Linked DNA regions of Arabidopsis thaliana. The protein of the gene in region 2 interacts with the protein of the main gene of each other region in a pairwise test. Each region holds a gene or a part of one and is shown on either strand. Other genes may lie near its edges. The genes, in order: CHX4, SUC9 and PDLP6.

Region 1 (6,903 bases), on a different chromosome or scaffold from region 2:
CGTCCCCTCGGGGAGGAAATGGACCGTAGATGGGGCGTTTGAGTCAGAGGACGAAGCTATAAGACGTCTCAATGAGTCACTCCTCAAGAGTGCATCTTGTTCTATTGGGATTCTTGTGGACCGTGGACAGTTGTCGCTGAAAGGAACAAGAAAATTTAATATCGACGTTGGTGTGATCTTCATTGGAGGCAAAGACGATCGGGAGGCACTCTCGTTGGTGAAAAAGATGAAGCAAAACCCTAGAGTCAAAATCACTGTGATCCGACTCATCTCTGACCGAGAAACAGAGTCGACTAATTGGGATTACATTCTTGATCACGAGGTTTTAGAGGATCTTAAAGATACAGAGGCCACAAACTCTATTGCATATACAGAGAGGATTGTGACTGGAGGTCCAGAAGTGGCCACTACCGTCCGATCACTCTCTGAGGATTATGATCTTATGGTAGTTGGGAGAGATCATGGCATGGCATCACCGGACTTCGATGGACTCATGGAGTGGGTCGAACTACCCGAGTTAGGTGTCATTGGAGATTTGCTAGCGTCTAGAGAACTCGACTCTAGGGTTTCTGTTTTGGTAGTCCAACAACAACAACAAACGTGAAAATGTTCTGTTTGTTTGTGTATAACATATTTATTAGAAGGTGTTCATATATACATTTCTCATTCTTTTAAGAGGTTTTCACTATTGCAGGACTAAAATTAGAAAAAAAAGAAGATGTTCCATTAAAACTTCACAACAAGACCGATGAGACGGAACCGAGAGAATAAAAGAGTTCAGAACATGGCTAAAGTACACATAACATAACTAACATATTAAATGCTATTGTTTCGGGCCTGAGATTGCAATAATTACAGGTTTGGGCCGAAAATCTATTAAAAAAGAAAAAAAAGAACATAACTAACGTATGCAAAAAAAAAAAAAAAAAAATTAGATTCTGTTTTTATATTTAAAATCCGTAATTGAGATTTGAGAAAAGAAAAAAAAAACTAATTTTATATGTAACCAATTTTTAAGCCAAAACTCGGAAAAAAACATCTCTAACTATTCACAGATTGAAATAGGTTGAAATATATACAACATTCAAAAACATTGTAATCATTACTTGGAACTCAAGAAAGTCTTTGTTTCTAATCAATTTCTAACATGAAATGGTAACAACTAGGGCTTCACATCTCTGTATATGTGCCGAGGCAACTTCCAGAAGCCCCAAGACTCTCTCGTTGCCATTTCCAGCTGATCGATCGATGTTTCTATCCCCAAGAAACACTCGTTCTATTAGTCATCTCCTGATTTCTTAAAAATCCTAGATCATCTGTTGTTGCTGTTGTATCACCAACACAGAAGCTTGACAATTTAGATCCTGTGAAGTCAAGAGATCTCCAATGATACCAAGTTCTTCAAACTCACTCCATTCTTCAAGCCCCTCGGTGAAAACACTCTTCCTTCCTTTTTCTCTTCCGACGATGAACAGATCATACTCATTCGCAATAGATTTCAACAATTGTGATGTTTGATTTGCGTCATTCACTACTTCCTCGGAGAAGACAATGTCAGCACCGGCTAGAACGTTGCTTTTCACGTCTCTGAGTAGTTCTAAGTCGAGCATGCGATCCCAGTCGGTTGCTTGGTTCGCTCTCTGTTCGGAAGAGATGAGTGAAACCACTGTGATGGTTATTCTTGAATCACGAGCCATTCTCTTGGCGAGTGATAAAGCTTCTCTATCGTCTTTACCTCCAAGAAAGAGCATACAAACTTGGTAAGATGAGAAGTTTGCAGCTGTCTCTTTGATTGTTCTCCGTCCATTACTGCTTCGATAGACGAAGATTCCGACAGAGCAAGGAGAGAGGTCGAGGACACTCTTGTTCAGTTGCCGGATCATTAGGCTGTCTGAAACAATGGCTGATCCATCAGCAGACCAAGTCTGGTGAAAAGGAAGGATGATGAGAGACGTTGTGTTGTTTAAAGCCAGCATACAGATGTCTCCGTGCATCATCTTCGGCACGGATAAAGCCGTGTAAGTGCTAACGAAAACAGAGCCGAAAAAATCGTTGTGGAACTGTTCGAATGAGACAACGACGTTTTCAGAATTATAAGACATGTTCTCACTTTTACGGGTTTGTAATCGGTGAGAGATGAGGACTGGATTGGCTTGTCCTACTAGCTCCATCAAGTGAAGGACGTAAGTAGCTACAGGGTTTTCTCTTGAGGGACAAGTAGCTTCAAGGAGATTGATCATCGGACGGATATCGTCTGTTTTGTAGATACACGATAGAATCCTGAGCTCGGAGTTTGGTTTCATGTGAAGCATGTTCCGCTTCTCGTATCCTGCGTACATCCTCGAAGGATCATAAATGCGTTTTAAGAGCGGAGGTATGACTGCAGAGTTCAACAAGATGTACAAAGATAAAACCGTAAAGGTCACCGGCCGAATAGTCTGCAATCAAAATGAATACTAAGCTCAGTTTCTGAGTGTATCAAAATGTGTTAGATACATTTTGAAGGAAATATGTCAAATACATTTACTTACCCCTCTTTGATACGCATAACCGTAAGCACCGAACTCGAAAATGCCTTTGAATGACATAATTAGAGACAGAGCAATGCAATCCTTTGCTGGCATACCGTATAAGAAGGCAGGGAGAGTCGTGAGAGCGAATTTGACAATAAACGATACAGACACTAGGATGACAATACTCTTGAGATCTATCCAAGACTGTAAAATCGAAGTATCGATCTCTTCCGCGGAGGTAGCCACAAAGAAAGGAAGGAATGTGCCGAAAACCACAGACTCAAACTTCTGAAGTATTGCAGAGCCTAGAGGTGGACCGTGTGGAACAGCTAAGCCTAAGATAAAAGGTCCTATGAAAATAGATTGCTTGCACCAATCGGCAAGAATGGCTGATCCAAAGACAAGAATGATGATTGCATATATATAGAATTTCTTTACGGGACGACCAGAAGGTGTTCTCTTGATAATGAAGAACATTAATGGTCTGAATATGTATATGGCAAAACAAACAAACAAGACCACTGTGCCCGCACGCTTCATAGGACGGTTTCCAACAATAACATCTCCGATAAAAACTGATCCAAGCCGAGATTTATCGTCCTTGAGTTCCTTTAGAAAGACTAGAACCGCAGAGAGGATCGAGGTGCTGAAGTCACTGATCACTGCAGAAGACATAGCGAGACGGCCAAGCTCTGAATTCTGGAGCCTAAGCTCAAAAAGAAGGTTTCCAATTACAGGAAACGACGAAAGGCATTGGATCAAATAGATGAAAATGATTTCAAAGAAACTCATAACCGGTTCTCCCTTTTTCGTCCCTACATCTCTTAGGATCAAGAAGAAGATCAAGGCGCAAACCGTTATAGAGAGTAACACTGAGGAAAGACCGATAGCTACAGCTTTTCTCCCGGTGCTGCGGATCAAACTCAAGTCCATTTTAACTCCCATCAAGAACCAAAACATCATGTAGGAACATGCACCCACTAAACCAAACAGAGTCTCTTTATAGTCTTCCGTCGAGAGGAATTTCCTAGCCGGTGTATTCTCCTTAAGAAACGACTTGCTCAAGAGAATCCCAGTCTGGCAAAACCACACAGAATATCAAACATAAGCAATGCAAACAAAGAGGAAGAGAGATTTGAAGATTCAAGAATTGAGTAAAGTTCTTACAAGCATATGGGAGGTGAAACGAATCATGCCGAGACGTCTGAGGAAGAAATGGAAGAATTGCCAGAGAATAGTGACGATAAGGAAAATGATCTGAACATGTGGAAACATGTAATTCCAGAACTCAATGTTTGCTTGAGGATCTGGGAGCTTCGGGGAGGGCCATAGCCCGCTCGAGCTCGGGTTAATAGGCAAGATACCGCAGATCATGTTTGCATCTCTCCATGTATCTCTCAGGTAAGGGATCCTATCACCATTAAACTCCATTGGACAAAACTTGTTAACAAGAACAAAGATGATAGAAACAAGAGAATCATATGATTATAAAAACCGAATCAAGAGCTATAACTGTCTTAAACAAAAAAGGTTTTGGTAACAGAATTGAAGAGAAGCAGTGAAACAAAAAAACATCTGGGTTTTGTCATTAAACAACAACTCTCTAAAAATAGTCAATCTTGTGGGAACAAGAGACGGCGACATAGTTTTTCAGATTTCTGGTTATTTGTTAGTTTTTTAAACAGCTTGTTAGTGTTAATTTAAGCATTCTCATCACTTCAACAGACAAATGAATACAATATAACTTCAAGTAAATATCATAACTTGCAAGAGAATATTATACTTTTAGCGTTTCCAGATTCCAAAAATAGCAAAAATACAAATGCATCAAACAATCTAAAGGAAAAACTTCACAACCTTCAATCCTCACCACAAGAGGCTACTCTCTTTTCCCTCTCTATACGTTCCTGCAAGTTCAAAACACCAAACACAGTGCGATGGACAATTAGCATCTGCGTTTGCGGCTAGACCTTAAAACGCAAAACTCCGTTCAACAGCCAATATTCCCGACCAATGTTTATATGCCGATGTTCAGAGTTCAGAACATCGGTTTAACTACTTATTTCATGCCAATTAAGACACGAACTAAGACAAAACTAATACTTAGTTTCATTTATGGTTAAAAGCCACATGATCATGGAAAATCAAGAAATACCTTGGGATGCAGTAGGAGTCTTGAATCGTTGAAGGTTTAGTTAGCGAAAACATTGATCTTAACTCGAGCAGTGACATCGGGGTGAAGCTTGAGTTCGGCTATGTATTCTCCGGTTTCACGGATTTCTGGGAGAGAGACAAGGCGTTTGTCGATGTCCCTGCAAAACACAGCCACAGAGAAGCAGATAAAACCATATTAGGTTCTTCGAACAACACTAAAAACCAAATGTAGACTGATCCAACTAAACCGCCCACATGAGAAAGCTTGTAGCTTTTTATGTGGAAATGTAAAATTTTCTATGTTGTTACTTTTGGAGCTGTGATTTGATGATGTCGACGAGGTCTTGAGCTGTGACACTGCAGGAAAATATAAAGTTAAGTACAGGCTAAACACTATTCTCAAGACTGTTAAAATCTAGATTTGCTTAAGTAGGACTTACGATCCAAATATCAGTTTGCCTTTACCGCCTTTGCGTTTAACCTTGAAAGCACCAACGGTTTGGAATACCATCGCCAGTTGTTGTGCCTCTTCTTTCACCTGCAAAAAAGGTTCCACGCAAAGAAAAAACCAACAAACAGATGAAAATCAATAACCAAAGAGTTTTTTGGTGATCACTCAAACACCAAAACTTTACATGATGATCAAATAAAAACAATCAATGTATTCATATCAGATTACCCTTTGCTTCTCTGCCTCAATCCGTTCGTCTTCCATCTTCAATTCCCTGGGGGAAAAACACACACACAAAAAGAAAGAAAATGATGTTTTTCTTGTTGATCTTACAACATTGTAGCAAAGTCCCTCGAAATACAAAGGCCTTAGAACCGAATAGTAAGAGCATACAAAAGCGAACGGAAATTTCGAAGTTGAGGTGAATTACTTGAGCAGAAGTGGAGTCATAAGCTGAGCCTTTCCAGTAGGCAAGAGGAAGTTTCTGAAAAATCCAGCTTTCACATCAAGTAATTGCCCTTGCTTACCCAAATCCGTCACATCCTCTTTCAAAATTACCTTAAAGACACAAAACAAGATTTACCATTAGTGTTTCACTTACTCCATTTCTCTACACAGAAACAAAGCTTCAAACCAATTTATCTTCACTACTTGAAACTAAACTGGTAATATAAAGGCGTCTACTTTTCTAATGTTGATTCATCTTTCTTCCTAACTACGCTGATACAAGAACAAAGACGATGTTTTTACACTAAACCCATAAATTAAGCATCTTCAAGTCTTTTACTTTCATCTCCACCAAAATTCTTCAGAAACACAAGCTCAAATCAAAAACTAACTAAAAGCCAAATCAAATTTTTGAAGGAAACCCATGAAAGGTAATGACTTTTACCTTGCGAAGTTTCTTAGCTTTCTTCTGGGAAACAACTTCAAAATTGAACCTTCGCTCAGATACTTTTAGGGTTTCATTTGCACCGCCATTGAAGCTGTGTGACCAACAAGGAGAGGAGCTCCATGAGAGAGACAAAGCTGTCGAAGAAGCCATAGCCAAAGCTGATTTCACTTCAAAGCAGAGATAACAAGAGCGCACAGTTGTAGTAATTGTTATCTTCTTATCGGCTTTTCGTGTGCTTGCTCAAGTGAAGTGACGAATGTTTTTCTTATGTTTCGAATTTGACCCCGTAATTATTCTACTTTTCTGTTTTCTTACTTAAAAGTTTTATAAAGTTCAATTGAGTACCCAAAATTTAACGGTTAAATCGGTTTTATAGTGCTAAAAGTTCCTCTGGATTTTGATTTACAATGTTTGTACTTTGTATGATGATTATACATATACACAACAAATCTACTCGATTTCAGAATGTACATAATCTCTAAACACAAAGTTCTTCTCTTGTTCATGTAAAGCATATGCAGAAGCAGCTGATATCAGTGATAAACCAGCAAGAACCAGTCGAATCTGAACATCAGAAGGAACACCAGCCGTGGCGGCCCAGAAAACCGTCGCGCCAACGAGAAACTTCTTGAGGATTTGGAAACTGTTGTAAGCTCCTTTGCAGGAAGAGCATACTTGTGTATGCTGATCAAATCTATCTAGCATCTGTTTGTTCAAATTTGTCACGTTTTCAGACATGTGTTTGTATATATATAGAGATCAATCAAATGATGTTAGGATGCATGATTGATGGCTCACCTGACGCTTGGTTAAGACAGTGGAAGGGAGAGGTTGGTTAGACGGGGTGGAGCCGAACCATTCAGGCTGACTCTTACCATGCCGTCTGAGCC
Region 2 (5,776 bases):
ACCATAATTTTCTGTTGCAATTCTCTCTCAATTTTATTTTTTCAAAATGTTAGTGAAATCTTTCTTCGCTAGGCTACGACTGATAAATTAGTTCATCGAGAAAGAGAATACTTGATTTTTTGCTTAGTATCAGTAGATCCACATATATATTGCTTCAATTTTGCTACATGATGATGTTCATTTCGAATTGATAAGTTTTGAGTACATTTCGTACCAATTGAAACTTACGACTTCTCAATTGTAATTGTAGTATTCAGTTAAGAAATTTTAAAGAATTAAGAGGATCAAAAGTAGATTTTAAGGAATTGAATTAATTCTAACCAAATCTTTGCATGAATTCCTGGAATTTTTTATTCACAATCTTGAGTGGGATTTTTTCTTTATTAATCCTAATATTGAATAACACTAGCATTTAATAAAATTTGTTAATCAAGAATTTAAATAATACTAGAATTAATAGAATCTAAAATACAAAAATTAAATTCTTAAAATTGAACACACACTCATCCCCCTCTCCTTCTAAAGTTAGTGTAGGCCTTCATTTCTTTCTTCGCTAAACCGCGGCCGGTAAGCTTTTTGCTACCACACTCATCCATGTGTCTACTCGAGTCTTCCCACCTGCCCCGTCGTCTTTGTTTAGACTAAATTTATTTTTTTGGTCTTTGATTTCATTTTATTTTATTTTATACTTTTTTAAAGTGTATTATGTTTTTTTGAATATTTCATTGTTTCTACAAAATAAAATGTATCATGAATGAATTGTCATATAAAGGTAAAAATGTTAGATTTACAATTCCTATGCATAATATTAATTTTTTTTTTTGTTATTTACCTAGAAGTTTAAAATACTTTAATTTACGCAGATTGATGTTGACATAGATATAGAAGTTAAACAAAAACAAGAAGAACTTTTTAAAATTAAAACTTTAATTAAATAATGTAAATAAATATGCCACATGCTACATTAATATTAAACATGTGGATACATAACAATAAAAAAGAAGCACATAACAATAAAAAAAAAAAAAAAATTAAGGTAAAACGGTAAGTGCCACAACACTGCTGATTAGAGCTGCTATAGCTCCAACCACAAATCCAGGTAAGTTTCCACCTCCAAATAACGCATCAATTGGACCAACTCCAAACGATACAATCATTTGTGGTATCACTATTGCCATGTTTAAAACTCCTAGAGAGAGTCCTGAAAAAATGACAAAAAATGTTATCACTATCCTTATTAATCTGATAAACGCTTTAATAATAATCTTAAACAGAACGATTATGTATCTTATTGATACATTTATGACAAATTTTATATGGTGAATGAAAACCAACTAATAATTGAAGATGTAAACAGATTGTATAAAAATATCAATTAACCAATAAATTAGTACATAACATACATCACCCTATGTGAAAATATATACTCGATCGTTTTTCTTATAATTGGAAACTGATCTCTCCATTACCGTTTTTTGTGTTCACACATTTTAATTAGCATTACTATGAGAATGTAGGTTCAAATTAGAAACAAAAGGAGAGGTTAAAATTAAATACCTTGACCGGCACCGGAACTGCTTGAAATAATGGAAGCTAATGCAAATGGAATACTAAATGTAATCTATAAAATATAGCAAAAAATGGATTAATATTGTTAAACAAAATAATAATTCATGGATAATAGTAACAAAAATTGGTAAAAGACATGGTGGACTTACAGCAAGAGGAATTCCAAGAATAGCAAAGAGACTCAATGCTCCATCTCTGATGGCATTGGTAGGAAGGGCCATCCGACCAGCGATCTTCCGGTGCTCCTCAGCCTTTTTAGTAACCAAAACTGTCATTGCCAAACACACCGCGAGGATTATGTTCACAGCTCCCCAAAGCCTTTTAGCTCCAATTTTCTTACTAATCACTCCAATAACAAGGGACATGACTCCAAGAACGATAGAGTTAAGCATCAACCCCAACGAACCAACTTGGATTCCGTGGTTGTATAGTTTCTTCATTTTGTCATCTCCTGCTGAGTCTCCACCATACACTTCACGACCCATCCAATCGGTATCGTATAAAAGAAAAGGAAACCATGCGATCCAGTTCAAGGCCGTGACGGCTAGAAGCATCCACATTGGACGTTTCATCACCTTGAAAGCTCCAAAGATCTCGCCAAAGAAGGGAGTTTTCTCATTGTCGGAATCTGCATTAGGCGACCATTGCTTGTCTTCCACGTACCAAAGAGCTATGATTGTGAGGACTATGAGGAGAGTGATGGAAATAATGAAACAGCTCTTGAGATTTGCACAATAGATGTCGCATGCTTTAGTCACTGTGAAAGGGAAAATCTTGTGGAGGTTAGTGTACGATCCCGCAGCGTATCCCAAAACGTTTCCAACGGCCATGAAGAAAGAGAAAATCGCGTTGGCAGTTCGAGTTTTCTTAGCATCTCCGGCTGCTAAATCACCAAGAAAAGCACGGCAAGGTCCTTGAAGAGTGTTGTTAGCCACGTCAAGGATCCAGAAACCGACAACGAAGAAACCAACGGCTCTTATCTTGACAGCTTCGTCGAGTTTATCTCCCATGGTGTGGCCGAAGTCAGCCGCAAATCCAATTAGTATAACAGCAAGGGCAACAAGCAAGGCACCAGTGGCGATGAAAGGTCGACGACGACCGAATCTTGACTTGCATCGGTCGCTGAAGTAACCGACGGTTGGCTGGACGAGCAGACCGGAGATAGGACCACATAGCCATATGAAAGATGACCATTTGTGTGGGACTCCGAGAAGCTGAACGTATGGGGTTAGGAGAGAAAGCTGAAGAGCCCAACCAAACTGTATACCGGCTGCGATAGAAGCCACTGATATCATCTTTCTTAGAGGTGACGGCTCATCAGGAACCACAACCGACGAAGAAGACTGTCTATCAACAGGCGCCGCATCTTCTTTTGCTTGGATGTCACTCATAGTTTCTTCACGTTATCTTAAGAGGTTGTGTTTTGGTGATGGTGAATCGTGATAGAGGAGATGAAAAGAAACGGACTCGTCTCTTAAAGACGAGGTGTGGAAGATGAATGAGATTTATGTTTCTATAAACGTTTTGATTCTGTGTTTCATTAGTTAAGAAAATAAATCATTTATACTAAAGGATATAACGCAAATATCCTTATAGGAATTTGGTAATAATGACAAGACTAACTGAAATCAGTTTATTATCTTATCTTTACATATTCTGAGATCGTGACAGATTTCTTGTTTCTGTAATATGTTTTTGTTTACAATTTCTCGTCAAATTTGTTTTGTTCGTTTTCCTTTTTTAAATTTCTGTTTGCATCAAACCGCATTACTGTTACATATTATTTTGACTTCCTCCACAAGAAAAAGAAGGTGAAACAAATGATATCTCAAAACCCAATTTGGGTACGTTAAGTATCCAAATTGATTATGTCGTCAGTTACGAGCCTAACATAAAATGGTTAAGTATCCAAAATTCCAAAGTGATTATGTCGTAAGATATGGGCCTAAAGTCCATAAACGTGAAAAAGCTTCTTCGATTAAGGTAAAACAAGCAAGTTTTCACGTTATCTTCACTAGATATATGTCTATCAATATTGATGATAATATTAAAGTCAAATTTCACAAACCTCGAACGAAGCTGCAATGTCAAGCGAAGAAATTTGCCAGCAGCAGAGAAAACGAGAACATCTTCTTTCCAGCATGATTGCAAGCTCTCCAAAAGACTAACGCTCTGTCTGAGCATCAAGTTGCGGGAAATCGGGTTTATATGAGTCAGAAACCTGAATGAAAACAAGAGAAGCTGAGAAGCCACTACTCTAATGGCAAGTATAGCCATCTATGATAGTTCTCGAGTACCTCAGTGAAAAGTACACTCCCACATTCCATTACTTCATGAATTCAGTACATATCGCTTGAGAGTTACATCAGACCTTGACGGACAATAACTTCTTTCAGGATAGATTTTGCTAAGAAGTTGTCTGTTTTAGCAACAAGATACAAAGAAAAGAGTACAATGAGTGAAATGTAAAACGACATCATAGAAGGAAACAATGTCCAATTATGATTAATGAACAAGGTTGGTAATACATCAAAATATGAAGTCTGAGATGGATCTCGGTGCTGAAGACGGTAACTTTCACGACCTGACATTTTCGAATCGCTGTTTCCCCTCCCCTGTGCAGACCACCGGCGATGGAGGAGTTTGTCATATAGTGTCTCTGTATTTAGACTGCGTGCCGAATTAAAGTTATAGAGCAGAACTCCGTGTCGGCATGGCTCAATCCAATTCGGTTCGGTTCGGTTCGGTTTAAGTAAGAAGAAAAAAACTTGATGAATAAGGCGATTCTGGTCTTTTTGTTTTCTGTCTTGTTTTGCCTATAAGGCTTAAAATAACATGGGCTTAAAGCCCAATAGTCAATAAACGAGGATAAGCTTCTTCGACTAGGGTAAAACAAGTCTTCACTATATATACAATGCATCTTCGATTATAACCCCCAATTCTTAGATATTAGGGCTTATGTTCTAAATCGTGTTATTCGTATTTATCGTTTTTTTTTTAAATCGTTGCGCAGCCCTTAAGATCGCCTTCCACAAATGCTTAATGGAAGCGTGTCGAGTCATTGCTGCGCTAAATCGAAATTTATTAAGGGTTTTTGATTAGGGTTCTCCTAAGAACTAACCCAGTTTTTACCTTCCTGATTTATTATAGGTCGAGTTTTTTTATATCGGCATTAGATCTGGAATTAAGGTCCTCTCTCGCTGACTCTTCAGATATAAGTGTTTATCTCTTTTATCTGCTAGAGATCTTTGCGTTTGAGGATTTTCAGATTTTAATTTCGTTCATTTAGTATCTCGTTCTATATAATCGGGTAGGATACATTGTTTTTATTGGTTTTGCAATGAAACGGCGAGAATGATGAACCAATTAGATGTGCGAATGAGGGGTAATTTCCTCATTATGAGCTTAAAACTGTTTGAGGCATATTTAACATCTCTGACTTCGCCGCTTTTCAAAAGTTTTGTTTGAGTTTTTATTGTTTGTTTTGGTTTGATGGAATAGTGGAAAATGAGGAACATATAACTCAAACGTGAATCAAACCATGTACCAGTTTTTGCTTATTGATATTCTGATTCCACCATTTGAAATGAATAACCATATTTGCTTTGTTTTCTTGATTTGGTTTGCTGTGTTTACGATGAACTCTCATTTGCTTCTCTGTATTTATTATCTTTTTATTAAGAAGATCAACTCATACGAAATGGTGATGTTTCAAAGTGAATTACTTCCAACCTTGATATCCTTAAGTTACAATTAGCGACTCATGAACTAATCGAAATATGGTTTGCCTTAGTTTGCCGTAAAGTAAGTGATATACTGATATGTAAACGATGTTGGCATGGACTATCTTTCAAAGACAACACCTGAAACAGAATTCTTGAGCTTGGACATGGAAGTGACTAATAATGGAAAATTGTTTATAGATAAAAAAAATAATACCAAATATGAATTGTTAACGACATTTCAATTTTGTATGTCCACTCGGAGATCTTCCTTTGGTTTTACAAACATAAATCAATATCAGAAGTCATAAGATTAGTCTATGGGATTGGCTATTATTTTGTTGTCAGGTGGCAATACTTACCCCAAAATGCCCATCGTTGGTTCAATATGAATATATGATCATCCTATATAGCTCTTTCCTGAGGAAAACAACCAAATATAGCTCTTTCCATTGATCTATTAAAGATGTCATCTCAACAAACCT
Region 3 (5,972 bases), on a different chromosome or scaffold from region 2:
ATTTGAAACAGAAGAAGTAATATTTTATATTAGGATCATGAACTAGTCTTTAGAAAGTTTTTCTTGACGTTACTCAGCTGGGTCTTAATTGCATATGTCGTCTCTTTGGCTTGCGTTTGAGCCGCAACTTGTTATTCAATGGGAGGCTGTGACACCCTCTTTGTACAAGTTTCACATGTAAGACATAGAAGTCTTGAATCCAAAGACACCAACAAAGATGACAATGGTACCGACGGTTCTTGAAAAAGCCCTAGAAGCTGTGTGGTGATCATATTCTCGGGCTGATGAAAATATTGCTTCCTCCCTCATGGCCCCGCGCATCACACAACACTCACACCTCTTCGTTGCAGTCACCAAATTTATTAGTTTCTCCACCTTGTGCGAGGAACAATCCCAATTTTTCAATCGACGCTCCAGTCGAAAAGAAGAAGCCTCAATGAAATAGGCATACGACTGGTTGTCAGTTGCCTATTTAGCAGAATCCATGATATTGACACTGGGACCGGTGCCATTCCCGGATGAGAAGCTGTGATTTCCACCCGCGATAGCACTATAACAACTTTCCCTTGGTATCAGCGTTCTGAATCATCATCGTCATTGTCTTAAGAAGTTCTTTAATATATTATGTACGATAGCGTCTACAATCGCATGTGTAATCTCTATAGTAGACAATACTTTTTTTCTCCTTTAACATGTTTTGTTGGTGTCGATGTTGAGTCTAACTATATTCTTTCATTTCTTGGTAATTTTTTTACTCGATGTTTAAAATCGAATTTTATTTCATTTTTACAATGTAGTTAAATTAGCCAGTATGGCTACTTTAACATTGGATCGAAAACGCAGTGCCACATTGCCGCTAACACATAATTTTAGCAACTTTTTTTTTTTTTTTTAAACGTAAACTATAAAGGAAACTTAAAATCAAATGATCCACACACAAATTGTTTTATTAGTGTAGCTGCATCTATTTGGCCTAGGATAATATCGATTGCATAAAATGATAAGAAATACAAAATAATTAAAACATTTCAAACAAATTTTAATCTACTTGAGAACAAGTTTTATTTTTTTGGGCAAATCTAATATAGAACATAAGGCGAATAATTGATGATAGAGAATTGTGTCACGTAAGCCGATTGTTCCACCAATTAGGCAATTATGCTTGTATCCCCCCTTACTTTTGTATGAAACATAATGATATAAATTTGAACACTTTATAAAGTTCTACTTACTAAAGACGTATTCATATCTTTAGTATGATATATTAGTATCTAATTCAATCAAATATATACCTACCATTTGACATTATTTTACTTTAAATCATCGTGGATGCGAGAATTCGTTGTAACGAGTTAAGATTATATGAATTTAGAAAAGGGATTTCAAAACTTAGTTATACAACATGAATAGACTTCTTTGATTGATATATAGTAGAAATGATACACCGATGCGTTTTGCAAATGAAAAATCTAAGAGAGAAATTGAAGGTAGTAATAGTTTAGAAAGAACAAAATTCTATTTATATACTGGAAATAAGAAAATGTATAGCTAACTTTGGCTTTAAATTCATAGAACATATATATACATTGTTTTGTCACAAACAGTAACACAAAATCAACAATAATTCCTTTAAACTACAACGTTAAGTGATTATGATAATTAGAAATACATATCAAAGATAAATTGCATATGCGCCACTTTTAAATGTTCTTACGTAAAGATACGATCACAAATCTAAACGGCGTGAGTTTTCTATACATTTGAAAAATAGTAAAACTTCAATTAAAGTGGGTCAAAAAAGAAACATCCTTTAGGATTTTAGTGGAGAATATGAAGAATCTCTTCGCTTTTCTTTCTCCTTTACGCATTTGATTCTTTTTTAAAACCATAAATTGATGATACAAGTCAAAAGTCCCATAACGTTATTTACTTCCCACCTGATATATTAAAAACAAAAACATTAATAGATGATATAAACAACAACAACAACAAAAAAAGTCGGATCATAGTGCCTTATCTTTGGGCTCCATTAATTACATATTGATCCGTTAATCATAACAATATTTGATGATAATGTTCGATTAATTAGGGATGGGTCATTTCATTTACCTTTACCTCTCTCGCACGATTTTGCCATAAAAGAGAGAAATACGACGAGTAACGTAACTCCAGCAATTAAGCCAACTATGATTGCAAGTGTTTTCTCTATCTCATCGTCATCATTGTTATTACGATTCCCACCTAATTACATCCCAAAAATAACACATTTTTAACAATACAATTATCAAAAATATTATATGCATAAATTGTAAATTCTATGCAAAGAAGATGGAGAAAATAAACGAAAAAAATAAATCTTGAAAATAAAAATCTCACATAACCACATGACTAAGACAATACGTTCGTAACTATTCGATAATAAAATATATATAAATAGTAAATACTGTACAGTTAAGTTTTTACTGCAGTTATTGATTCAGTTACCACTGTTAACGGCTGTTAATTTGAATATCTAATTTTAACAAAATTTAATAAAACGAAAGTTTTAAAAAGATATAAAAATTAATTTAGATATTTTTTGAGAAAATTAAATAATAGAGGTATTAAACAGACAAACTAAAATTAGCCGGAGATTTTTTCGGGTTTTTCCCTTAATTAAAAACTTTAAAATCAAATAAAAATCTTTATAAAAGAAATAAAAAGCAACGGAGCAAAGAAGACATTACCATAGCCGTTGGCTCTAGAGTGACCTCCACGCGCAGAGTAACGCGCGTAGCACTTTGCTAAGTACACGTCACCCCAAGCAGCTCCTCCGCAATCCGTTCTCAGCCGTCCGATCGCTTCCATCAAACAGTCTTGACACTCAGTCGCACTAAGATCTCCGGTGCACTGCGCCACACCTTGCAGTTCCCCCGACACTCCTACTCTGTATGAACCACCGCTACTCGCCGCTAAAGAACCCACCACCGAGTCTCTACGAGTCATCTCGTCCGAGTTATAACCAACCGGTGGTCCACAACGTCGAACCACCACCGTCTTATCCTCAACACCGAGGAACGTCGTGTTGTCGTATTTAACGAAACAGCCTTCGAGCTGCAACGCGCCACCGCTTGCCATGGCGCAGAGACTCCCTAGACGGCTTACTGCTCGCGCGACGCATCTTGCACAATCTCCCGAGCCGGAGGAGAGATCACCGCGACACTGGTACAAACCGTAGACGGAGGAACTGTCGCCGGAGATTCCGTTGGTGGTGAAGTTGTTGTATGTGTAGAGAGAAGCTGAGCTAACGAACGAGGTGAGTAGAGAGTTAACGTTTGACTCGTAAGGCGATCCCGGAAAGTACTTTTCTTGTGAGCAACCACCGTAGATAAAAGTATCGACAGCGGCGGATGAAAACGTTCCGAGAAGTGACACGACGGCGATAAAGAGAACTGTTTTTGTAGCGAACATGACTTTCGACGATTGCTTCTTTTTGTTCTCTCTCTCTCTGTGGTATGATTCGAGAAAGAATGAGAACGTCGCGACTTTTTTTTATGCTTGGTGTTTAACTTTTTTTTTTTTTTAATGATTGGTGCGTTACTATATGATTATGAAACACTTTGATTATATTGTATTTTTATCATCTGTTTATCAGTTATATGGTTTGGTAATCGATATACTATATGTCAAAATTATTTATTTGGTAATCATATATATGAAAGTTGGCTAACTTTCTTCATATGAGTGACACATCATCACACTAATGAGTGTCACATGTTATCCTAAATTAATATTATTAGAAAAATAATAAAACTTGGTGATAAAATTTAAAAGTTTAACATTGCATTGAATCATTCATTAATCTTATTTTTAACAAAATATCTTCACTTAAAAGAAAAAAATATAAAAAATTATGTTAATATATCAAATACTATTTTCATTTTACTTTTCTTATTTTGCTATTTTTTTTAATAGTCAGTATTTGATAATGGTTAGAAACTTTTGGGTATTGCAACTTACCTGGTACTTAACCTTTTTTAATTTAGTAATTTTAACTTAATTTTTCTTATTATTACATTTTTTGGTCTACATGATATTATCATGGTCTTTTTGTACTTTATGATAAATTAGTAACATTAATAATAACATGCATGTTTTTTAAAGTAATGGTCTTTTGAGACGTTAGATATACCAAAAAATTTAATATACGACATTCTCTCCAATATAGCTAAATGCAAATGTAAAGAGAGAAACCTAAAAGTATTAACTTAAAAGACTGTTTAATTTTTGCTTTCTTTTTTTTCTTTCACGTGAAAACTTTTAATGCAAATGAGTAGTTAGTTATACATATGTTATTTATTTTATGTCAATCTAATACTTAGCCATGAGTTTATCATGATGTGATTGGGATATTAGATTAAGAGAGAATACATGAAACAATAAATTGTTTGCTTAGAATCAAATTAGACAACTTTCAAACTAAATAAGTAACATAATTGCATACCATTGTATCATATATTGTTGATGTAAGTAATTCATGATAGTTAAAAAAAGATTAGAATTTTGGGTATAGAGATAAAAAGATTTATACATAAAAAATATAATTGATATGTGAATCAAAAGTGAATCTAACTCTACAAATATAATTACATAAAATAAATATAACTTTATTAACTACATAATAACATATACGGAAAAAACATAAATTAGCAATCAAAATAGTTAAACATAATTATTTTTAAATAATTTTTAAAATAACAACCTATACGTAGTGTGAGTATTCACCTAGTGTAATTTTATTTTTGTTAAAAGTAGTTGGTATATGCGCACATCATGTCATCATCCTACACCGGGAAATTGGGAAATTCAGGACTGCCTAAATAATATCTTAGCTTTGGCCAAGAACCGTTACTATAATATATATAGTCGTAGAGAACCAAATGTAATGGCAAATACATTAGCAAGAGAGGCTCAACAAAAGCAGTATTATTCTACAAAATTTATGCAATCAACATATTTTAAAAATAATTTTATTCTACAATTTTTCATTTTACAAATTTTTATTTGGCAATTTATATTATTATGCTATTATGTAATGTTACCAATTGGAGTTATAGTCTCTTGGGTCTGTTAAATGTATTTCTGTACACACTTTCATTATCTAATGGATAAATTGGCCGACTAAAAAAAATATAATCATGCACTGATTAGTTTTGTTAAGTTAATTTTACACACATCTATGGACAACTCGAGGGCATTTTTGATTTAGGTGATCTTTGTTACATTGCAAGAACAATTTTTTCATAGATTGTAACTATTATCTTTTGATCCTTAAGATTATTTCAAACTATCTAAAGTTAATTTAAACTATGCCAGAAAAGAAAATTGTTAGTATTTTGTTACCAAAAATTTAAAAATTGCTAGAGGTCATTTTTATTTTTCATTATATTTGAATCAAATATCTATTATCAAAATTAGTAGAATCAATCTTATTAATTAGAAATAACTTTTTGCATAATAGATTAGAAATTTTCTAAGTTATAAAATTAATAATATATAAACTCTTTTTTAGTAAGATATTAGCTTAATTAATCTCTTTATTGGCTAAACAAAAAGATTGGAGTAGTTTGTTTTTCATGTCTATTTTTCTTGATTAATTTTATATTTTCCTAATATTGCCTGGTTACTCTCTTTCTCTAAAAGTGGTTGATATCAAAATCTTGTAATAAATTAAAATTTCAATTTTTTAATTTTTAATTACATGCAAAGAGTGTATCTAGCTGTCATATTTACTTAATCAAATCAATTAATTCTACTACTTGCAATCTTTGGCAAATAAATAAAATAAAATAAAAAATTTAATACCTAAAATTATTGTCCAAAAATAGATAAATCAAAATTTAACTCCAATTAGAAGAAAGTATTTTTAATCCATTATATAACATAGTAGTAACCCAATTTGATCTATACTAATTTTTTCATCAATACAACTC

Evidence for each region.
Region 1: the proteins of SUC9 (region 2) and CHX4 interact in a protein complementation assay, tested with the Arabidopsis thaliana proteins (one large-scale study listed by BioGRID).
Region 3: the proteins of SUC9 (region 2) and PDLP6 interact in a protein complementation assay, tested with the Arabidopsis thaliana proteins (one large-scale study listed by BioGRID).

What each region holds. Positions count from the first base shown.
Region 1 is NC_003074.8:16,385,765-16,392,667, reverse strand, and holds CHX4 (cation/H+ exchanger 4), read right to left. Parts: upstream 3,945-6,903; coding exon 3,681-3,944; intron 3,591-3,680; coding exon 2,532-3,590; intron 2,439-2,531; coding exon 1,308-2,438; 3' UTR 1,086-1,307; downstream 1-1,085. Other genes in the region: CHX12 (cation/H+ exchanger 12), read left to right, coding at 1-604; RPL9 (ribosomal protein L9), read right to left, coding at 4,705-4,825, 4,977-5,024, 5,108-5,205, 5,347-5,392, 5,549-5,676, 6,011-6,163; ACD1 (Pheophorbide a oxygenase family protein with Rieske 2Fe-2S domain-containing protein), read right to left, coding at 6,464-6,718, 6,812-6,903.
Region 2 is NC_003076.8:1,866,975-1,872,750, reverse strand, and holds SUC9 (sucrose-proton symporter 9), read right to left. Parts: upstream 2,961-5,776; coding exon 1,719-2,960; intron 1,622-1,718; coding exon 1,558-1,621; intron 1,202-1,557; coding exon 1,032-1,201; downstream 1-1,031. UniProt on the Arabidopsis thaliana protein: High-affinity sucrose transporter. Responsible for the transport of sucrose into the cell, with the concomitant uptake of protons (symport system).
Region 3 is NC_003071.7:289,047-295,018, forward strand, and holds PDLP6 (plasmodesmata-located protein 6), read right to left. Parts: upstream 3,643-5,972; 5' UTR 3,451-3,642; coding exon 2,727-3,450; coding exon of another isoform or gene 2,671-2,726; exon of another isoform or gene 2,242-2,670; coding exon 2,110-2,241; coding exon of another isoform or gene 2,102-2,109; exon of another isoform or gene 1,938-2,101; coding exon 1,927-1,937; 3' UTR 1,527-1,926; downstream 1-1,526. UniProt on the Arabidopsis thaliana protein: Modulates cell-to-cell trafficking.